Arabidopsis thaliana: one gene and its partner. The protein of the gene in region 1 purifies or fractionates together with the protein of each later gene. This does not show direct contact. Each region holds a gene or a part of one and is shown in the gene's direction. Other genes may lie near its edges.

Evidence for each region.
Region 2: the proteins of AT5G27120 (region 1) and FIB2 fractionate together in Arabidopsis thaliana (co-fractionation; one large-scale study listed by BioGRID). This does not show direct contact.

The regions. Positions count from the first base shown.
Region 1 is NC_003076.8:9,537,922-9,546,348, forward strand, and holds AT5G27120 (NOP56-like pre RNA processing ribonucleoprotein), read left to right. Parts: upstream 1-2,939; 5' UTR 2,940-3,058; intron 3,059-3,353; 5' UTR 3,354-3,365; coding exon 3,366-3,443; intron 3,444-3,543; coding exon 3,544-3,585; intron 3,586-3,674; coding exon 3,675-3,854; intron 3,855-3,930; coding exon 3,931-4,095; intron 4,096-4,289; coding exon 4,290-4,490; intron 4,491-4,577; coding exon 4,578-5,075; intron 5,076-5,175; coding exon 5,176-5,310; intron 5,311-5,460; coding exon 5,461-5,763; 3' UTR 5,764-6,144; downstream 6,145-8,427. Other genes in the region: GLR2.1 (glutamate receptor 2.1), read right to left, coding at 129-390; AT5G27110 (Tetratricopeptide repeat (TPR)-like superfamily protein), read right to left, coding at 651-2,726. UniProt on the Arabidopsis thaliana protein: Required for 60S ribosomal subunit biogenesis.
Region 2 is NC_003075.7:13,070,329-13,078,033, forward strand, and holds FIB2 (fibrillarin 2), read left to right. Parts: upstream 1-3,761; 5' UTR 3,762-3,910; coding exon 3,911-3,929; intron 3,930-4,171; coding exon 4,172-4,512; intron 4,513-4,605; coding exon 4,606-4,701; intron 4,702-4,785; coding exon 4,786-4,863; intron 4,864-4,950; coding exon 4,951-5,127; intron 5,128-5,234; exon of another isoform or gene 5,235-5,307; intron 5,308-5,541; coding exon 5,542-5,610; intron 5,611-5,694; coding exon 5,695-5,877; 3' UTR 5,878-6,104; downstream 6,105-7,705. Other genes in the region: DTX35 (detoxifying efflux carrier 35), read right to left, coding at 6,248-6,329, 6,629-6,696, 6,781-6,867, 6,942-7,060, 7,147-7,385, 7,462-7,518, 7,610-7,705. UniProt on the Arabidopsis thaliana protein: S-adenosyl-L-methionine-dependent methyltransferase that has the ability to methylate both RNAs and proteins. Involved in pre-rRNA processing.

The DNA.
Region 1 (8,427 bases):
TTATGCAAAAAAAAAACCTTTGGAGGAGAAAGCATAAATGTAGATAAGAAGTGTGCATATGAACTGATGATTGATGACACACACGTATCTCAGTGCATGCAAATTTAGAGAAATGGGTATGCGTGTACCTGCTGCTGCTGCGGTAACAACATCATTTTTGGAGTCAACAACGGTGGTTACAAGCCTTGTTTGGGTTTCTGGATGAGAAGAGTAGAAATCAGAAAGAGACATGTTGATACAGAGCAAAGTCATGTTGGAGTAAGCCGTTCCGATATCATTCACGATTCCCACATTTACATTGGTTATCCTATTTTGTGCTTCTCCGACCTGCATCAGGAAGACGATTACAAAGAAGAGTAAGCTGAGAACGAGGTTGTTTTCTCTCTTCATTTTATTCTTCTTCTACTTAGCCGAAAAAGAATGAAACTTGGTGGTCTATATGTATGCTCTTTGGTGTGGCATGAGACCCTTTGGTAATTGGAGAAGTCGTGATATTGTTAATTACGAACTTGTTGAATTTATTCCAAAGTATATAATATTTAAGGCAGCAACTTGTTTTTTTTTACATATTCTAATTTAACCAACAATTAAAGTCAACCGTTGCAAAGGAGGAGACTTCGTCTCATGCATAATTAACAATAACATAAGAATCATTGACCGGATTCCATGTGACCACTCAAAAGAGCAAGACACTCATAAACGTTCTCAGCTCGTAAATGAGACCTGTCCTCAGCAAAGAAATGGCACACTTTGTCACTCATCTCAATCCAACTGCAGCCCGGTTTCTTCCTCAATCCCATTTCTTTCATTTTTAATCTGACTCGTCTTGCTGCATCCCATGACTCACCAGAAGCATACAAATTGAACAAGACCATGTAGGTTGATGCATCATCTGGATAATTCTCAACAAGCAATCTTGCGATTCTATCTCCCAATGAATGTTCCAGGTGCAAGCAACAAGCAGAGAAGAGAGTACTGAGAAGCTCTGCATTGTCACTTGTCTCTGGTGTTTGTTGAATAATTTCATAAGCTTCAAGCAACCGACCTGCTCGGCCAAGAATGTCAATCATGCACGAGTAATGTTCAATAATAGGCTCGATTCCGTACTTTGATCTCATTTGACTGAAAAATTTGAGACCCTCATCAATTAGCCCAGCATGACCACAAGCTGACAATACAGCAAGAAGAGTAACCCCATCAGGTTTTAGACCAAACTTCTGCATTTCATCAAACTGGTAAAGTGCTTCTCTGGGTTGACCATGAGATCCATACGCAGAGATCATTACCGTCCATGATACAACATCCTTCTTTGGTATACTGTTGAAAATCCTAAAAGCCTCTTTTTCATTGCCGCATTTAGAATACATGTCAAGAAGCGCACTCAAAAGCAACTCGTCTGTTTCGAGCCTGCTCTCACTAATGGACAAATGAATCTGTTTGCCTTTCTCTAACGCAGCCAGTTGCGAACAAGCAGGTAAAACACTTGTGAAAGTTACCACGTCTGGCTTCACTCCAACACTCACCATTTGGTCATACACTTCAACAGCCTTAAACCAATTACCTACACTGATATAACTAGAAATCATGACATTCCATGACTCAGCAACGTCCTTCTGTGTCTTTGAAAAGACGGTTTCAGCCAAATTTGCTTCACCACACTTGAAGTATAGATCAATCAAGGAACAGTTCACATAGATATCTGCATTTACAACGCTTCTAATCACATAACCGTGTATAAATTTTCCATGTAGGAGATTCCGTGAGCGAGAGCAAGCCATCAAAATGCTGGTCAAGGTTGTCTGACTCGGTCGAGTTCCTTCTATGATCATTCTATTCAAAATCTCAACACATGACTTACTGTCTCCTTTAGCGACATAACCTTTGATCATAGAATTCCAAGCAACCAAACTCTTTCTAGGCATTTTCTGAAAAACCTCCCTAGCCACCTCCAAGCAGTCACATTTCCCATACATATCAACAAGGGCAGAGTTTACATACTCATCTAACTCAAACCCTTTCTTCACACATTTTCTATGTATCTCCTTCCCTCTCTCCAACCACAACAGCCTTGAACACGCCGATATAGCCACCGTCAACGAAACTGAATTTGGTTCAAAGCCAGAACTTTCCATTCTTCCAAACAACTCCAAAGCCTTCTCTGCCTCTCCACTTTGATAAAAACACGAAATAACCGTGTTCCAAGATGCTACATCTCTCTCAGGCATTTCATCGAACACTTGTAGTGAATTCTCAAACAAGTTAAACTTTGCATACATACCAACCAAAGAACTCGCCACAACCACATCACAAACATACCCACTCTTCACCACAAGAGTATGAATCATCCTACCAAGAAACTCTCTACCCAACGCACCATAAGCCTTAATCACATTCGGAAAAGTAAACGAATCAGGGACACAAATTGAGCAATTCAACAACCTCTTGAAAACCTCAAGAGTGTCATGAAACATTGAGTTCTTTGAATAACCAGACATTAAAGAGTTCCATATGTAAACATCCGATCGTATATCGAAGTTCTCGAAGACGTGTCTCGCTGAGCAATGGTCTTTACAAGTAAAGTAGACATTGATGAGACTTTTGCATAAAACTACGTCTCTTCGTAACCCCAACGTGAGTATTCTCTGATGCACAAGCTTGATTCTTCTTAGAGACTTGGTGCTATTGGTACACTCTCGCAATAAAGACAACAACTTTGAAGATTCCATTTCAAGTTCACATTTTTTTTTGTCGTGAGAGATTGAAATGTGATCAGTCGCTGCTTTAGCTAAATTATAAAGGAAAGACATGATTCAAACTACGACGTCGTTTATACTAATGGGCCAAACTTAATTAGGCCCAAAATGATTTATTTTTCTAAATTAGCGATGCGTTTTAAAACCCTAGGTTACAAAAACGCGCCGTTAGCAATAAAAACGCAGCGTTTTGAGAATCTCTGAACCTTCTTCAACAACTATAAAAACCATCTTAAACCCTAGCAGAATCGCGGCTCCTGATTTTAGCTCTCTCTAAAGCTGTAGTTGTGCGTTAACCCTCTAAGGTACTGAATCTCTCTCGCCCTCTCTTTCTTCGTTGTTATGGCAAATAAGCTTCCAAAATTCTAAGACTTTGACAAAGTATAGTTCTGTTCTTTGTCGGATTTTCAAGAATTTGAACAGAGTATCTGCCTTAACTATTATTCTGATTTGTAAACTTCGAAACAGGGAAAAAGTTTTACCTTGAATATTGTTTCGTACTAGCTTAATGGCTTTAGCTCGTAAAACACTAACTTGCAAGTTTGGTGACTTTGAGTTGATTCAAGGGTTTCTCTTAATCTTGTTTTTTCTTCTTTTCAGGAGCTTGTAAAAATGCTAATACTGTTTGAGACGCCAGGTGGTTTTGCCATCTTCAAAGTATTAAACGAAGGAAAGCTCTCTAATGTTGAGGTTACTAACTAAATCATTCTCCTTTGTTCATTTATCTTAACCTTGTTTCTGTGTGTGGTTTGGTTTTTTAATTCTAAGTATGTCAAATTTGTGATTGTAGGATTTGGGTAATGAGTTCTCGACCGCAAAGTTAGCCCGAAAGGTGATTTATTTTGTTCTAGACATAGTTCAAATTTTGTATCTGGCTAATAATATTTGTTTCTCATAGCAATTTTTGGTGTGTTGTTACAGATGGTGAAGCTAGTAGCTTTTGACAAGTTTGACAACACAGCTGAAGCTCTTGAAGCAGTGGCTAAATTGCTTGAGGGAACTCCAAGCAAGGGTCTACGCAAGTTTTTGAAAGCTAACTGTGTTGGTGAAACATTAGCTGTTGCTGATTCTAAGCTTGGAAATATCATCAAGGAGAAACTGGTGTGTATTTTGTTCCGATACGCTCTTTTATTTCTGAGTAAGGGTTGTTTCTTACGGTTTTGCTTCACTCGTGTAGAAAATAGTCTGTGTTCACAACAATGCTGTTATGGAGCTGTTAAGAGGTATCAGAAGCCAGCTAACTGAACTTATATCTGGATTGGGTGATCAAGATCTAGGTCCAATGAGCTTGGGGTTGTCTCACAGCCTTGCCAGATATAAACTAAAGTTCAGTTCCGACAAGGTAGTCATTTGATTTGTATTGGTTTTTGGTTCTCTGAATTATTTGTTGAGTTAGCCAACTTTTGATAAATTATGGAACTTTTGGTATCCCTTTTTTTACTCTTCCAACATTAGGTCTGAATTGCAATTGAGTTTGTCTATATATCCTGTGTTTGTTTGACCCTTATGTTACTTCACCTTGTACTTGTATGTTAGGTGGATACCATGATAATCCAAGCTATTGGTCTGCTTGATGATCTTGACAAAGAGCTTAACACTTACGCTATGAGGGTTCGTGAATGGTTTGGTTGGCATTTTCCTGAGCTTGCTAAGATCGTACAGGACAATATCTTATATGCCAAGGCTGTTAAACTAATGGGGAATCGGATTAATGCTGCAAAGCTAGACTTCTCTGAGGTAAAGGCCTGTTTGAGTATTTGACTTCCTTGTGCTTAACACTAGTTTTTTTTTTTTTGAAACATTGTTTCTGTGTCCTCCTCTCAGATATTGGCTGATGAAATTGAAGCAGAACTGAAAGAGGCTGCTGTGATATCTATGGGAACTGAAGTCAGTGACCTTGATTTATTGCACATCCGAGAACTCTGTGACCAGGTTCTTTCTCTTGCCGAGTACAGAGCTCAGCTTTATGACTACTTGAAGAGCAGAATGAACACAATTGCACCAAATCTAACTGCCCTTGTCGGGGAGCTAGTCGGTGCTCGCTTAATATCTCACGGTGGTAGTTTGTTGAACCTCGCAAAGCAACCTGGAAGCACGGTTCAGATTCTTGGAGCTGAAAAAGCCTTATTTAGAGCCCTTAAGACCAAACACGCTACTCCAAAGTATGGTTTAATTTTCCATGCATCTGTTGTTGGCCAAGCTGCACCGAAGAACAAGGGTAAAATTTCACGGTCACTAGCTGCAAAATCTGTTCTTGCTATCCGTTGTGATGCTCTTGGTGACTCCCAAGACAACACTATGGGAGTTGAAAACCGTTTAAAGGTATCCTTCAATTTTTTTTTTTCCGATCTTCCTCTCGATCTGATCTAAAAATACTCTACCTTGATTGATGTTTACCATGCGGGCTATTTTCTTCTGACAGCTTGAAGCACGGTTGAGAACTCTCGAAGGAAAAGATTTAGGACGTCTATCTGGCTCAGCTAAAGGCAAACCAAAGATTGAAGTATATGACAAAGATAAAAAGAAAGGATCCGGAGGTCTGATCACTCCTGCTAAGGTCAGATTATTCCTCTGCTAGTTTGTTTCTTCAACTTTCTTTTGTAATTATGAATTCTGGATTTGTGCAATTGTGTTTTGGATATATTACCTGTAATGTTGCTTAAAGGATTAAGCTGTTTGTTGTTGTTGTTGTTGTTGTATTCTGCAGACATACAACACTGCTGCAGACTCTCTTCTTCAAACTCCCACAGTGGATTCAGAGAACGGTGTGAAAGAGAAGAAAGACAAAAAGAAGAAGAAGAAGGCTGATGATGAGGAAGAAGCCAAAACTGAGGAGCCCTCAAAGAAGAAATCGAATAAGAAGAAGACAGAAGCAGAACCTGAAACCGCCGAAGAGCCTGCAAAGAAGGAGAAGAAGAAGAAGAGAAAACACGAGGAAGAGGAAACTGAAATGCCTGCTAAGAAGAAGGAAAAGAGTGAGAAGAAGAAGAAGAAGAAAACTGAGGTCTGAAGAGACCTTTAATATTTTTGCGTGGTCTAGTTTACTTTGTTATCAGAAACAAAGAAAATCTTTTGTGGCGTTAGGTGTTAAGTAAGGTTTTTGTTTTGTTTGAAACTTAAAAAAAAGAACTACTCTTCGTTTTGTAAGGTTATAATATGTTTGGTTTAGTCCTTATCCCAGAAACTTGCATTTTGCCAAACGAGTCAAGACCTTACCGTTAAATCCTTCTAATCTTAGTATAACGTAATTACTCATAGTTGATTAGTTCATAAATTTGTAAAGATCAGTCCGAAGAGTCGACATTTTTCATCAAGTGTATCATTGACATTTTAAAAAACCTTGTACAAAATGAATATTTGTGAGTCTAAAAAGTACCTTAATAGTCAATTGGAAATGGATTGGGTTGAGCATAAGGCAAATCATACCAGACCTTAGAAATTTCAAAAGATAAATAAAATCTAGAGTCTACCTACTTTGTGTGTGTATATATTTTTATTGTGCTATAAATTTTGTGATGAATATGAATCAAAATTCTTTCTGAATATTTCGTGATAATGGTTCCGTCAATATCAAAATTTACTACTGAACATATATGTTTTAAAATATTTAACTGGATTTTAATTCATAAAGTTTTTTTTATTTTTAATTAAATTTAGTTGCCGTGGAAAAAGTTTAATCTATAGTGTTTTATGTAATCATTGTAGGTAATGTTCAAAAAATCTGCCTAGACACCTATCGAACTGGATTTTAATTTATAAAGTCTTTTTATTTGTAAGTAAACTAGTAGGCAGCCCGTGCCTTGCACGCAAAACAACAATACCAATAATATATTTCGTGTCTTTGAAATTTGCAACAATTACACAAATGACGAATATCACAACCTCACAAAATACAATGTGTATCACACATTGCTCTATAACTCTCAATAAAAGTCCTATTCAACTTTACTCAAATTGTAAAATAATATATGTGTTAAAATTAAGAAAACTTTTATTGGAAACAGCAAATAATCTTACATAAATACACTAACTTATCTCATAGATATATAGAAAAAAATATATATATATATACAGAGCCGTTTTTTCTTCTCAAAAAACTTAACAATAATAATGATGGAGAAATGAATTACCTTCTAACCAAAACGCTTTTCTAAACTTGAACATATAAGATGGTTTCACATTTAAATTATTTTGCACACTACACCGTGGAAGAAGATGTCATGTCATGCCACCCATCTCTCAATTTGGTTATCTTCTTCTTCTTCTTCTTCTTTTTCTGAATTGAAAGCCCCAAAACATTTGCATCCATTTTGTTTCTATATGATTCTCGCAAACTCATGTGGTCATTTTGTAGCAGCGGGTGTGCATGGAAAATGTAAGAAGATAAGACCAAGTAAAACGCAACAAAACGGCCAAAGGTTTATTGATATTCATACCAGCGATTGGGTGGACCAAACTCAGTGAGTCGTGAGGGGTTAACAGCGTCCATCACATTAGGTATCACAAAAGTCTCAACTTTCATTATTTACGTCATTCTTTCGTTTCTCTGGTAGACGTATTTAGATGAAAGAATGGAGGATCTAAGATTATGAGAAAGGAAAGAAGAAGAAGAATTTAAACCTGTTTTTATCTTCTTGAGAATGGCTTATACGGTTGCTCTTGAGATCGTAAATTAACTGGCAGAGGGTTTGAAAGATGGGAGAGAAAGTAAAGAATCTTAATAACGTGGAAGAAGTAGTTGCTGAAAAAGTGGTTAAAAAAATTTAAATTTATCTTTTGTCAAAAAAGAATATTCTATTGAATAGTAAAAGGAAGTGAATTGGTTTACGATTGTGGAAGTGCAAAATTTTAGACTTAAAGCATACGTGTCAAAATGAGAAGCTTACAGTTTTTTTAAAAGTGACTGTTGATTTAGTATTATTAGATTTAGTTGCCGCGAAAAAGTTTAATATATAGTGTTTTATGTACTTATTATAGGTAATGTTCAAAAAAATAGCCTAGACATCTATCGAACGTCTAGCTACCGTACAACGATTTTTTGAACATTGATTATAGGTAACTAAATCTACATATACATTTTTGCCGCCATTTTGTGAAATAAATCTTAGAGTTGGAACTTATTTATAATGGCTGCCACTAGCTTTTAATTATTGTTTTTTTTGCAATAAATTAATTAACAAGCAAAAAAAATTCCAAATATATTCTAATCCCATATATCACGCAGATTTCTCCAAAATTGAACTAAATTTCGGTAACTATTTAAAACAAAAAATGTTTGACAAACCAAAATACAATTGCAATCCCTTAAAATGAGCAAAATGCACCTAAATACATTTCTTATCAATTCACTAAATCTAATTTCTCCAAAATTTGAATTAGATTTCGACAAATATTTTTAAAAAAATTTGTTTGACAAACTAAAATACAATTGCAATCCCGTAAAATATTTATTTTAATTATATATTTAAATTAACGGTGTACCACTGGGTTTTTTTACGGGACGAGTTTGGCGGAACGGGTTTGAAAGAACGTTACTTAATAACAATTGTAAACTATAAAATATTTTTATTTTATAGATAGATATAATTTGCAAACTTTTATATATACTGATTTAAAAAAATAAATTATTTCTACGGTATAACGCGGGTTAAAATCTAATATTTAGATAATTTTG
Region 2 (7,705 bases), on another chromosome or scaffold:
TGTGGTCAGTTTTGAGCTTCTTTTGCATGTTATGAGAATATTTCTCAATGAACTTGAAATGGAATATATTTGTTGGGCAAATTATACTTCTAAACATATAATGCTAATAAGATTAATAAAATCACCAAATAATAAGATGGTATAACATACTTTGTTAGCTAGAAAAAATCGAATGACTTCCATGTGATATATTTGAATATGCATATTCTAATAAATGCCAATAATAAGATGTCTCTTCGTCCACCCATGAGATGCACAATTAGACCTATTTGATGTGAAGACTTGGAAATCTTTGATGGGTATCTTCGAAATTGATTAGTTTCTAATTTTAAATATCCTTAAAATACCAATTAGCTCTAGAAATTATCGACGTAAAAAGAGGTCTAAAAATTATCGATTTATTAGACGGTGGGAGTGGATAGTCAACTAAAAAGAGTTAAAGAGATTCTTTAGAATCGAATCGAACGGTTGTAATTTGTAAACGGCCTTATCAAAATGGTTAACAACTATACTATTAGTTTGCCTAACCAGTAGTTGACTTTTTATTATTGTTATTTCCTTTTAAGGTTTTTTATACACATGAGACTAGAATTAGGAGGAGAATTTCACTGCTCTTAGCCGCCATACTTTAGTAATGGCGGATCTTCGATGATGTATCGATTATGATTTTGTAGGGTTTGTGTTTTATGAATGATTAAACATTTAAACTAAACCAAAGCGACAAAGAAGATTTGTGAGGGTGGTTTCGATAAGGATTTTGTAGGGTTTGTCATTTGTCATTTGTGAATGATTAAACTAAACCAAAGCGACTAAAAAGATTTGAGAGGTTAGTTTAGTAAAATTGATTTTATAGGCCAATGAAAAAGGGAAGAAGAGAAGGGTTTTATGGGCTAAAAGAGAGCGCACGTGTGCATCGCATTCTCTTCTTCTTTTGCTTTTGTTGAGTTGCGTAATGACTTTTACGTGTATCCCTCGTGCGTGTGTACGAATGCGACCCTTTACCTTTCTTTGTCTCTTGAGAAGTTGGATATTCACTTTTACATTATTTAAACACTATATCAGTAACATAAATGAAGTATAGAAAAACCTATCAAACATATTTTGAATGTTTTTATTCTAATGCTTTGAAAAAGAAAAAGAAAAAATATATATATCATAATACTTAAGTACTATGGAATACGTAATATACAATTATTTTTGTATGTGAATATCCAATTTCATTTGCGATGTTAATATACATTTTTTAGATTTTATCATCAATCATGGCAAAATATAGTCTTTTGAATAGATGAGCATATCCTTAGTAGAAGCCACTCGAAGCAATCATGGATGTCTTCCAATGACCATCTAACATTTAAGTCATTATTGGAAACTTAAAGAAGTTGTATAACAAAATACTTAGATGTTATTATGAGGATGCTCTTAAATTAGTATATGTCAAGTGTTGTTATTGAGAATATAGCAATTACTTCTCTCTCTATTATGCTCATGTTGGATTGTGAATCCTTAAGAAAAATTCTTAAGACTGATATTTATAAGAAAAAAAAACTGAACATGGTTCAGATACCGGGTTTCAAAACATTATGGTGTTAAGTCCATACAAATGTACTTGTTTTAAAGTAGAAAACATGTGTGGTGTTGGTCAAGTTTTTCTATTACATCCTATCAAAGCATGTACACAATTTTAGGTAGACGTAATAATGTTGTTAGTATTCTCTTTACGGAAGATGTGTGTGATGCGTCCTATCACATATTGTCATTGCAAAGTGTGTTAGCTCATTATGCACATGGTGGTTTAGCTCTTTATGTAGATTGTTAGGATCTGGTTTGAAAAAATAAATAATAGTTACTTAACATTCATACCCAAAAAAATAATAAAGAATAGTTGATAATATTTCATGAAAATCGATTTGTTTTGGTGGACATACATCGTCGTCTCTACTCTATTGTCTCGATCGCAAGTAATATGACAAATAAAGCAGCAGCCCTAGCAATAAAACATGTGACTACTAAAATAGGAGGATTTATCTTTACTTGACGAACTATAAATTAAATATCTACTCTTTTACCTTGACTTTGAAAATTACTTTTTAAGATTGCCTTTTACAATTATGTGGAATAGCGGCACACATTTACGTAAATTTAACTTCAATTTAAAACAATGATTTATTCATTTTCATCATACAAACTTTTCAGCACATTTTCTCCTTTTTAATATAATTTTATATATTATAGATAGAGATATAGATCAAACAATGTATGACTTTAAACTTAGATTGTAAATTCTTCTTACTATGCTCGAAAATTTCATCTACGTATATAGATCTATTGTAAACCTAAGTTTAAAACGGAAATCAGTTATTGATAGTAATCTAGTAAGTTTAATCAACTATGCGTTATAACATAATGAAATCATATATACGAGCTTAGATATCTAATTCAGTTAATCAACAAGTCAACTAAACAAGGCTTCACTTTTCCACACCTCTACAGATCGAAATTATTATATATTCGAATTATGTAACTAATGTAAGTCTTGCAACGTGTGGATAGATACAAAATGGATATGTCCATAGGTATACATATTAAAAATATAACTAGAAATGGTATATTACTAACAAAATTTTACCCCCAAAGGTGGCCATCCACTAGTAGCCACATGCTTATCTAGTAGACATTGAACATGATAAAAAGTGCCAAATAAGTGGAATAATCAATGGGAATCTTCATTCCTATAAACAAAAACATTTTCAAGCCTATGACATAGCTAGCTACTCTACAACATGTATATGCCAATTGGGATATAAATGTATTAAAGCATAACCATTAATTTGACAAATAGAAATAAATAGTTCAGAATGTATAAGTTGAGAAAAGTTATAATGATTGGTAGGGAGAGACTCAAAAAGAAAAAAGGATGGGTAATGGGACCTATTTTCCCCAACATCCCACATGCACACTTCCCTCTCCATTCTCTCACATTTATTTCTTTCATTCTAATTTATCCATTCCGTGTGTAACATATTCACTAATAATCTCATCTCACTAACTCATTCATTGATTGTGATATGTTTATCTAGAATTAGTGTTTTAACACTGTGTCTACATATGATTTCCTTTTCATTGTATGTGAACATGTTAACTCACTAATCATTTTGTATTTTCGAGTTAACATGAGTCTCCACTTCGGTAGACTAAAGTAAAGATAGGTTTGAGTATAATAAAGTTTAAAATTTGCTTTAAAATCAATATTTATAAATAAGTTTTTATCATAAGTGATTTTTGTATGTTATATTGGACCTTGTATAAACAGACTACAGAAGAAAATTATTTATGAGAACTTGTAATGTTAGAGTGGACCTCGTATAAACTAATTATGTGGGCTTTTACCATAAACTATTTATGAAAATTATTATGGCCCACACCACTATAACTAAAGCCCACATATTTAGCAGCCCAGTTTCATTGTAAGAGACATGTTCGCTCTGGAACTAGAATTTTCTGGTTTTTGGGTATTTGTTTTCTTATGTGTAGAGAAATGATGGTAACGATTAAATGTTGTGTATTACAATTTACAATGGTAAGACGATTAATATATTTACACACAATTTTGTTGTTGCTGTAACACGTTAGTGTGTGTGATGATAGAATTTCATAAAGCTTTAACTACGAGGGGCAAAATGTTAATTCTAAATAGTTGACAGCAGAAAAAGATATGTATACATAATATAAGGATTAAAACGTAAATAATAATAAATAAGGCGAGTTAAATTAAAACCCTGTTAAAACCCTAGCTTGAAACACATGTATAAAAACACTTGCGAGCGCAGCTTCATCGCCATCGCCATTCTCTCTCTCATCAAAAGCTTTTCTCCTTGATTTTCGCATTCTTTAGAGTCTTAACGCAAAGATGAGACCTCCTCTAACTGGTAAGAACCCTAGCCGCCTCTTCTCTTTTCTTCATTGCTTGCTTATCAGATTAACAATGGCGAGTGACACTCTTAGCTCGTTTAGTCTTTAAAACTTTATGTCTTTAGCTGAACTGATTGTCAACTTTGTTCTTTTTTGCTTAGAACTGTATTGGGTCTGCGTTAGTTCTATCGGATATAGAGTTGATGGTTGGGTTTTATGTTAAACATGGAGTCTCTAATGAATGGTCTTTTGTGTTCAGGAAGTGGTGGTGGGTTCAGTGGTGGAAGAGGGCGTGGTGGATACAGTGGTGGTAGAGGTGACGGTGGATTCAGTGGTGGTCGAGGTGGCGGTGGTAGAGGAGGAGGAAGAGGTTTCAGCGACCGTGGTGGTCGCGGCAGAGGAAGAGGACCACCACGTGGTGGTGCTCGCGGCGGCAGAGGACCAGCTGGCCGTGGAGGCATGAAAGGAGGAAGCAAAGTGATTGTGGAACCTCACAGACACGCAGGAGTGTTCATTGCAAAGGGTAAAGAAGATGCCCTTGTTACCAAGAATTTGGTTCCTGGTGAAGCTGTCTACAACGAGAAGAGAATCTCTGTTCAGGTATTATAGAGGATTGATTAATTGATTGATGGTTTGTATTTGCACTCCTTTTGATGAATTTGTTTTTAATGGTTCTTGTGATTGAATCTGCAGAACGAAGATGGAACCAAGACTGAATACAGAGTTTGGAATCCTTTCCGTTCGAAGTTGGCTGCTGCTATTCTTGGTGGTGTTGATAACATCTGGATTGTAAGCATCAGCTTGTGTGAATCTTATTGTTGTTGTTTGCGAGACTTGGTTCATATATTGATTGTTGTTCCCGTTTCAATGTAGAAACCTGGTGCTAAAGTTCTATACCTTGGTGCTGCTTCTGGAACCACAGTCTCTCATGTGTCTGATCTTGTTGGCCCTGTAAGCAGAACCCGTCCTTTATGTTGTGATTATCAGGTTTTAGACGTGTATTGGAGTTTCTTATATATTGCCTTTGTGATCTGATAGGAGGGGTGTGTGTACGCGGTTGAGTTTTCTCATAGAAGTGGTAGAGATTTGGTGAACATGGCAAAGAAGAGAACCAATGTTATTCCAATCATCGAGGATGCTAGACACCCAGCTAAATACAGAATGCTTGTAGGCATGGTTGATGTTATCTTCTCTGATGTTGCTCAGCCAGATCAGGTTTGCTTCTTTTGTTTAACTCACAATGAATGTCTAAATATTTGCCTCAAAAAGCTTGACCCAATACCATTATATGTGTCCTTTGCTTTAAAATGGTGTTTTGATAATTGCAAATGATGATCTTACTTGGATTCCCCTTCAGATCATTATGGGTGATGCAATCTCCAAGTTTCTGATGTACTGAAAATTCTTGTTTTTGTTTTTGTTAAGCTTAATCTTATTTTACTATGTACTTGTTTTACAATTTCGTTTTTAAGAACAATACTAAATTTAAATGTCTATTATTGCTCGGTTTTGGTTCTCCTGATGTTAAACCTACTTGTTTTCTAAATGCCATTCAGCTTGTGGGTTGCTTCTAGTATACTTTATACTGTTTTGTTTATGAAATTTTCTGTGCCATTTAAAACCGTGCAGGCTAGGATCTTGGCTTTGAATGCATCATACTTCCTCAAGTCAGGAGGACACTTTGTGATCTCAATAAAGGTGGGTAGCAATCGAAACATTTATTTAATCCATGATCTCTCAAGAGAGAAAGATTAGTGAACATGTATTGTCTCATTTTTGCAGGCAAACTGTATCGACTCCACCGTTCCAGCAGAAGCTGTGTTCCAGACTGAAGTGAAGAAGCTTCAACAGGAGCAATTCAAACCAGCTGAGCAAGTGACGCTTGAGCCATTTGAGCGTGACCATGCATGTGTCGTTGGTGGCTACCGTATGCCTAAGAAGCCAAAGGCTGCTACTGCTGCTTAGAAGTTTTCTACTCTACGCTCTTCCCAGTACCTCAGATTTTGCTTTGTCTCGGTCTCTTTAGAATCTGTATGGTTTTAGGGTTTATCTTAAATTTTGAGCTTTGTAATCATTTTGAACCCTGGTTATGTTCACTTGGCTTCCAGCGCTAACTTTTTCGACAAGTTTTTGATATATGGAACAATTATAATAGAATTTTGTCGACTGAGGTTGATTTCTTTAAATAATGACACCTCGTAATGCAAATGTAAAACGCCGCAAGAATTTGCACACAAACAAAACAAAGTTTGAAGACACGTTGCATTTTTAGGACACAAGCCAAGGAAATGTAAATACAAAAAGCTCACGCAGAAACTGTAACAAAAAACTAATGTCAGAAGTGGGGTTTGAACCCACGCCCTCTTACGAAGACCAGAACTTGAGTCTGGCGCCTTAGACCACTCGGCCATCCTGACCTTCTTTATTAAATATCATTGACAACATATATAGCAGGATGAAAAAACTAGAATGGCTTATTCTCAAGCATCTGGAATTTTATTTGGGTTACAAATTTTTTTGATACATTTGGGTTACATGAGGAAAAGTAACTAACATTTGTAATGCAATTTTTCCTTTTGGAAGTAAGTAACAAAACATAACTGATGGAACAGTTTCCTACAATCTAAAACTCTAAATAGAACAATTTGGTGCCCAAACCAATGAAAGACAAACAAAAAGTCACTACTAAGCTTAACAAAAAAAAAACATCAATCACGCAAGTATATCCTTGGATGTCGTCTCACTCCCTCCCCATTTCTTCATACGTTCCATCGTCTCCTCCACCTGTTCATCACAGTTGAGATCGATTCAATTCAAGGAATGAAAAAGTGTATATAACAAACATGGTGTTGTATATCTGGTTCTTACCTCTTTATTCCAGTTTGTCTTATACAGAACAATCAACAGTAACAACGTTTGAAGCGCTGTCCCGGCTATCATTCCAGACCAAAGTCCCTGAAAACATTATACATAAGTTTTAGCTTCAGCATTAACTGACTTAACTCATGCCATTTTCTAAATTCTCTAACCATCACTCCAAAGTTTGCAATGTAACCAAGAAGATATCCAAAGGGAAGGCCAAAAATGTAGTAACAGCCCAAGTTGATATAGGCCACTAAGCCTTGCCAACCGCCTCCAACAGCCACACCTAAAAAGATGAACAAATCAGGACGGTTATAATCTGATGAGATATCCAGTTCGGTTTATATATATATCAGGTTTAGATTTTAGTACCAGAAACAACCGGCTGCACACTGTTGAGAACCATGGTTATACCAAGAAGATAAGCTAGCTTAGACACTGCACGCTGAAGTACTTTACTGCTTGTGAAGATGATAGCAAAATGGTCTCTGGCTATGATGATAGCCACCATAAAGACAAGACCAATGAGGAGAGACTGGAAGACCGTGACATAGACAGAGTACTTAGCTGCTCGTGGACGGCCTAGGCCAAGCTCATTGGATACACGGACACTAATAGTACACAAATATACACATGAGTTTACTAGTTACCTGAATAACAGGAAAAAAGGTCAGATAGTGATGATACCTTATAGCTGCATTTATTCCGATGAATAACATAGCCTCCAAGCCGTTGATATTCATGCTGAAATGTTAAAAACCAAAGAGTGAAAACGTTAAAGAGTCAGATACAAGTTTCTCAAGCTTATTGATGTAAAATGTTGCAGAAAACTAACCATATAGAAAGGGAATCAACAGCGATAACTGCATTGTCAAGACGGCCAGTAAGAACAATGATACTCATCATATACCAGATCTCAAGACAAAGCATA